Canis lupus familiaris: one gene and its partner. The protein of the gene in region 2 interacts with the protein of the main gene of each other region in a pairwise test. Links are inferred from orthologs where the notes say so. Each region holds a gene or a part of one and is shown on either strand. Other genes may lie near its edges.

Region 1 (3,564 bases), on a different chromosome or scaffold from region 2:
CCTGGGGTCCCAGGATCGAGGCCCCACATCGGGCTTCCTACAGGGAACCTGCTTCTCACTCTGCCTCTGTCTCTCATGAATAAATAAATAAAATCTTAAAAACAAAAACAAAAACAAAAAAACCCCTGGCACTTCAAGTCCCCATTTGCCTTTTTTTTTTTTTTTTTTTTTTTTTTATTCAGAGAGAGAGAGAGGCAGAGACACAGGCAGAGGGAGAAGCAGGCTCCATGCAGGGAGCCCGTCATGGGACTCGATCCTGGGTCTCTGGGATCACACCTCCGGCTGCAGGCGGCACTAAACCACTGCACCACTGAGGCTGCCCCCCCCCCCCCGCGTGCCCCCCCCCGTTTGCTCCTTAATCTAAGTGGAAAACACAGAAAGGGGCAAAGTCTAAAATGGGAACACAGGAGCTCTGAGATGCTGAATTCTGCCCTGGCAACGGATGTAGGGCATTGGTGCACCCCAGGGGGATATGAGGATCAATAAAGGCCTTAGGCTACCTCACACAGAATGAGTTAACAGGGTCTATAGTAACTGATTTTTCTGAGAGTGGGAGCCCTCTGCTGGAGGACTAAGTGGCCCTCAGGCTGGGAGTCAGAGGGACTAGAAAGGAGCCTGAGTGTTTTTACTCAGGGCCATAGTGTCCCACCCCAAGAGATGGAGGGAAGAGGGAGCAGTGAACACCCATGCCTTTCCTCCCACCAAGCTATTTACCTTCACAAAGGTGTTGACAGCCATGATGGCCATGTCCGGCTGACTCTTGGCGTAGTTCATCAAATACAAGTACACCAGCTTCTTCAGCTCCAGGTTGTCTGTCTGCATACAGTTCACCACGTCAGGAAAGAGGGCACTGAAAAGTCAAAATGGCATGAGCGTAGTTAAGGCTGGAGAAAGAAGAAGGTTTTTCAGAGAGCTAATGGGGGGTCTGGGAGGTGGGGTGGGGGCGCAGAGATAGTGGATGGGAGAGAAAGAAAAAGATAACAGGACTTCCTAGTAAAAGGGAGGACATCAGCTATGCTCTGTTAACCATGAACACTTATTGGTAGTAATGGAATCGAAAAGGTGATTTGAAAAGCAAAGTCCTCTGTTCTTTTCACGGGATTCATTCATATACAAGCTCTACAGCCTATCAGACCTGGCTCAAAACCAGCTCTGTCTCCTTCATCCCCCCACAAGTTTGTTCACCTCCAGGGAAGGTGTAAAAAAACCCCATTACACAGGGCCCTGTAATATTTAAAGAGGGCACCATACTCCAGATATCTGGTCTTTGACATCCGAGAGGTGCTAAATAGATGAAAACAATTGTTTTCTTTCCCTGAAACTTAATGCGGCCCCCTTATATTGGGCTGCTGGTTCCAGATGGTTGTAGGGAAGTGGGAATAGGCATGTTCCTTTCACCAGAAGGGCCAGCTCAGATGCCCACTAAAAACTAGCTCAGCATGTATGGAGCATTTGCTCTATGCCGGGCTTTGTATGTGTGATCTCATTTAACAACCCCAAGAAGCCAGTGTGTTATCTTCATTTTACAGAAGACAATATTACGGCTCATAAATGTCAAATAACCTGCCTGAGGAGCCAGCTCTGGTTCTAAAGCCCATGCCCAGGACTGCTGTTATTCTGGGTGGAACCCCTCCCAACACGGTACCCCAGAGTCCCAAACCCCCTGAGATGTGAAATATGCTTAGAGGTCAATTTCCTTCCTCTCTCTGGCATCATTACCTCCCCTCTCAAGGCTTGTGACTTAATGGTCGAGGACACAGTAACAGAGACTTAAGAGGTCAAAGTGAGCTCCCTGGACTCCCTTAGAAGGGAACCCAGTTGATAATGCTGACCTTGATGCATCACCTTGGAAGATGAAGAACCAAGAAGAAAGAGGAAGGTGAAGAGGAGAAACAGCTGATGGGCCTGTCACATCAGCACAACAAGTTCGCTTGAGACAGAAGAACAAAGGTGCTTCCTCTGTGAGGAGGTGACAGCAATGTTCTAGTTGAAGGAGAATGGCTTTGTCCTGGAAGGATGTGACTTGGAAGGAGGCCTAATTTTCCAGCAGACGCCTGATCCTTTTGCCACTCTGTCTACAGCAGGTCTCTCTGCAGAACTGTTTCTACTGTGGTACTGTTAGGAGGTCCCTTGCTGAGGTGGCAATAGGATAAGGCAATCCACAGAGAAGTCTGGAGAAGTGTGATCCTGATGTGGGATCCAGATGAGGAGCTGCTCCACATCAGTGCCCAGGCCTATGAGTCAGGAACTGGGCACCATGAGGGCATAGAGGAGAGGGTATGGGTGGAAATGCCCTGGATTTCGATTTCAGAAGAGCTGGGCCTGAGTCCTAGTTCTATTAACCACGTGACTGCTGGGCAGCCACTAGACCCTTTCTTTACCTGGTTTCCTTGGCAGTAAACACATCATTACCTGCAATATAGGAATTGTAAAGAACTGCTAGAGAACCTATCTGAAAGTTTTCTGCTTACTCTCAAATACTGTGCAACTCTTAAGTTGTTGCAAAATCCAATCCTCCTCCTTGGGGACTGTATGACATGGTGGGCAGGTAAACACAAGTACACATAATAAAAGGACAGTCAAGAATTAGTGCCAGGTGATAGGAACACAGAACAAATGCTGCACACTCAGGGGGGTGGGCTGGGGTGACGAGTGAAGGCAACAGAGACACCGTGAATGGGGTTTAAGAGATGGGAAAACATGCTGGTAAATGTAAAAGGGGAAAGGGACATTCTACACAGGGCAAAAGTGTGAGCAAAGGTGAGGCAGCATTCTACATATGATTTGCTCTGGCAATCAGATGCAAAGCAGAGGCTGCAAACTAGTGATAAATTCGATAAATTCCATCTGCAGGTGTGTGTTACTGTTACTACAGTATTTGTTTAATATCATCTTGGAAACCTAAAATAAAGAGATTTAAAATGAAAAATCCTGATTTCTTATTTTTAAAAAAAAAAACCAGACCTGCCCAGACTGGGTTCATTCTCCCCAGCTGGCAGCAATCCTTTGGAATCTCTGACAGGGTTCTGCTACATCCACTTCATTTGCTTGTTACCTTTTTGACCTTGCCCACTTCACTTACTCTCCTGCCACTTCACCCCAGCAGCATGTGAGCATAGGACCCCTCTGTAAACAAAACCTTCTGTTTGGAAAGGTGGTTCATGAAGGGAGCTATAACAAGGGGAGACACAGGTACCTAGAGATAATGTCAATGAGAGATCTGAACTAGACCCAAGCTTTGGAGCCCCGCTCCTGCTGCCACCCGGCCTACGCCTGCACACCTGACATCTTTGCCCACGGTCATTGACGCAATCACTTTCTTTACCGCCTCCTTCTTCTTCTCCTTCTTGTCACTGTTGAGCTCTGCCTTCAGCTCGAAGATCTCCCCTAAAAAAGGAGGCAGGTATGAGTGATCCACCCCCACCCTACCAGGGGGTCATTCTCAATCCCCAAATTCCAAAGGATGGGAGGGCAGAGGCAGGTAAGACATTCTGTGCTACCAGCTGAGGGCAGCTTTAGGTCCTTGGCCTTCATGACAGAGGCAGTAGAGAGGGACAATTCTGA
Region 2 (3,564 bases):
TAACTGGCCCACATCTCACACCTGTTGTTCCCCAAGTGGTATTGGGGTCACCAGCTTCTCCCCCAAGGGTCAGTCCCCTCTGCACATCGAGCAGAAGAGCAAATTCAGGTCCCCTCCTTGCACCATCCCTCAAGTGAAAAATGAACACTCTATGCTCATTGTAACTCAAGTTTGTCAGGGCTTTATGGACACATTGTAAGATATTCTTGTATTAAACAGCTCAGGTGAAACCAGAGCCTGCCTTTTCTGGAACCTGCTCTAGGGAGGGAATGTTTTCAAAATGTCAGTGCCTGAACTCCTTAACTCTTGGCACGGTCCCACAGGTACATCACTCAGGAAGGCCACAAGCTGGAGACGGGGGCCCCGAGGCCCCCAGCCACTGTCACCAATGCAGTGTCCTGGCGGTCCGAGGGCATCAAGTACCGGAAGAATGAGGTGTTCTTGGATGTCATCGAGTCTGTCAACCTCTTGGTAGGCTTCCTTTCCTTCCTTTTCTTTCAGAAAAATTTTGTCTTTTCCATGGTTGAAATAAAAGCACTGGGACTTTTAAAACTAGCAAGGCGCTGAGAGACATTTACTTTCTTTATGACAGCAGATCAGCAGGGTTCAGCTTAGGCCACTCATGGCTGAGCCTCTTTTCTCTCCACTAGCTTGTGTTCCTGTTTAGAATCAATGCAGACACATCGTGGCTGTCACTCTTTAAAGCAGTGTGGAGAGTTAGCAGAGTGTTCCATTTTCAGAAAGACCACCTCATTTAAGATTTATTAGCATCCTTTTGGACCTCATTCTGTAAATTCACAAACATGCACTGTTCTTTCCATGAAGCCGAGAGCGTAGGATGTGGTTCTGCAACTTGTTTTATTATTGTTGTTTGACTGTGTATGTTTGCTTTTTCCTTTTATTTTTTAAATTTTCACTAATAAAATTGACCTTCTTTTCTGTTAATTTCTGCACATGTACAGATTTTTGTACCCCAGTGCCATAATCAGGAGCTACATCCCCTCTAAGCCCTCCCTACTGCCGCCCTCGGCAGTCTGACCCTTCCGCCTCTCCCCCCACTGCTGGCAGCCACCACTCCAGTCCCTGGCACTGCACAGTTTCTCTTCCCCAGTCAGCCATGGTCCTCAGTCAGAATGTCCTCCTCCTGACTATTGTCAGAGGGTCAGTGGCCACCTCACACTACATCACAAGGCTTATGTCATTCACCTCACTTTACGTTGTCATGTAGGCGCTTTGTCCTCTGACATCATCACAAGAACGGTGGGTAACAGTACAATCAGGTGTTTTGAGAGAGAAAGAAACTACATCCACTTACCTTTTATTATAGTATATTGTTCTAATTGTCCCATGTCACAATTAATTCATTGTGAATCTCTTACCGTGCCTGATTTATAAATTAAATTTTATAAATTAAAATTTATTAGAGATCTATATAGGAAAAAACATAGTATATATAGGATTTGGTACTGTCTGCAGTTTCAGGCATCCACTGGGGGTCTTGGAGCATATTTCCTGCAGATAAGGAGGACAACTCTAGAATGTTGTCTTTTTGAGATTGTCCTATGAATGGCATTGTACAGTATGTGGCCTATTGAGTCTGGCTTCTTCCTTTTTTTTTTTTTTTTTTTTTTTTTTAAGATTTTATTTATTTGTTCATGAGAGAGAGAGAGAGAGAGAGGCAGAGACACAGGCAAAGGGAGAAACAGGCTCCCTGCAAGGAGCCCAATGTGGGACTTGATCCCGGATCCCAGGATCACGCCCTGAGCCAAAGGCAGATGCTCAACCACTGAGCCACCCAGGCGTCCCTGGCTTCTTCCACTTAGCATAATGTCTTTGAGATAGATCCAAGTTACTACGTTTACCAGAAGTTTGTTTCTTCTTATATTTATTTTATATCCTGAAGCATACCTTGTTTACCCATTCAACCTATTGAAGGACTTTTGGGTTTTTTTCCAGTGTTGGGCAGTTGTGAATAGAGTTGCTATAAATGTTTCACATCCAGGTTTATGTGTAGACAGAAGTTTTCATTTCTCTAGGGAAAACACCCAGGAGTGGGATTGCTGGGTCATATGGTAAGTGTATGTTTAACTTTATAAGAAACTGCCAAATCGTTTTCCAGAGTGACTGCACCATCTTTGCCTTTTCATCAGCAGTGGATGAACATTCTGGTTGCTCCACATCCTTGATCGGTGTTTTAATTTTCGCCATCTTAATCAGTGTGTCGTGTTAGCTTATCATGGCTTTAATTTGTAATTTCCCTAATGGCTAATGATGTTAAACACCTCTTCATGTGCTTCCTTTGTCATCCACATATCATCTTCGGAGAAGTGTCTTTTCATGTCATTTGAGTATTTTTAAATTGGGTTGTTTGTTTTCTGATTGTTGCATTTTGAAAGTTCTTTATATATTCTGGATTATAAATCTCTCATCTGATATGTGATTTGCAGATGTCTTCTTCTAGTCTGTCACTTGTCTTTTCATTCTTTTGGTGCAGTATCTTTCACAGGACAAAAGTTTTTAACTTTGAGAAAGTCCAGTTACCGATTTTTTGATGTGTGCCTTTGGTGCCATGTCTGAGAACTCATCACCAAATCTAAGGTCATACAGGTTTTCTCCTGAATTTCTTCTAATAGTTTTGTAGTTTTACATTTAGATCCATGATCATTTTGAGTTAAGTTTTACATAAGGTACGAGGTTTATATGCATTTATTTTTGCATGTAGAACAGTGTTTTGCAGTTGTTCCAATATAATTTTTTGAAAAAACCATCCCATTCTCCATTAAATGCACTTGTATTTTTGTCAAAAAGCAATCGACCATATTCATGCAAGTCTATATCTGGCCTCAGATCTGTGTATCTGTTTATTTGCCAATACCACACTGTCTTGATAACTGTAACTTTATTACGTCTCCATCAGATTATGTGATTCTTCCAACATTCTTCTTTTTTGAAATTGTTGTAGCTATTTAGTCCCTTTGTATAAAATTGTAGAATCAACTTGTCTCTATCTACAAAAAGATCCTACTGGGATTTTAATTGTTATTTTATTAAATAACTGTATTAATCAGTATGGAAGAAAACTGTTATCTTTAGTATATTAAGCTTCACAATCCAAAAACGCTGTATGTGTCTTTTTCTCTCTAGGTAGGTCATCTTTGATTTCTGTCATCAACATTTGGTAGTTTTTACTACCTATACATTTTCTTTAGAGCTATACCTAAGTATTTCATTTTTTGAAGGTATCGTAAATTGTATATTTTTAATTTTATTTGGTAGAATTAATTTATTTGATAGTGAAACTATCTGAGTCTAGAAATTTCTTTTTCAGGTTTTTTTTTTTTAAGAGAGGGGAGGGGCAGAAGGAGAGGGAGAGAGAATCTTAAGTAGGCTCCACGCCCAGTGTGGGGCTCAATCTCACAACCTGAGATCATGACCTAGGCCAAAAGCAAGAGTCAGATGCTTAACCAACAGATACACCCAGGCATTCCTTTTTCAGCATATTTTTAACTACAAATTTCAATCCTCTTAACGGTTATACGATTCAGGTTTTTGGTTTCATCTTGG

The links. The genes of interacting proteins can lie anywhere in the genome.
Region 1: the proteins of AP1M1 (region 2) and AP1B1 interact in a two-hybrid assay, tested with the Homo sapiens proteins (2 studies listed by BioGRID, with this or other methods). The link is inferred for Canis lupus familiaris from reciprocal best matches to the Homo sapiens genes AP1M1 and AP1B1.

The regions. Positions count from the first base shown.
Region 1 is NC_049247.1:23,074,060-23,077,623, forward strand, and holds part of AP1B1 (AP-1 complex subunit beta-1), read right to left. Parts: intron 3,388-3,564; coding exon 3,282-3,387; intron 851-3,281; coding exon 715-850; intron 1-714. UniProt on the Homo sapiens protein: Subunit of clathrin-associated adaptor protein complex 1 that plays a role in protein sorting in the late-Golgi/trans-Golgi network (TGN) and/or endosomes.
Region 2 is NC_049241.1:46,687,766-46,691,329, reverse strand, and holds part of AP1M1 (AP-1 complex subunit mu-1), read left to right. Parts: intron 1-323; coding exon 324-471; intron 472-2,036; coding exon 2,037-2,072; intron 2,073-3,564. UniProt on the Homo sapiens protein: Subunit of clathrin-associated adaptor protein complex 1 that plays a role in protein sorting in the trans-Golgi network (TGN) and endosomes.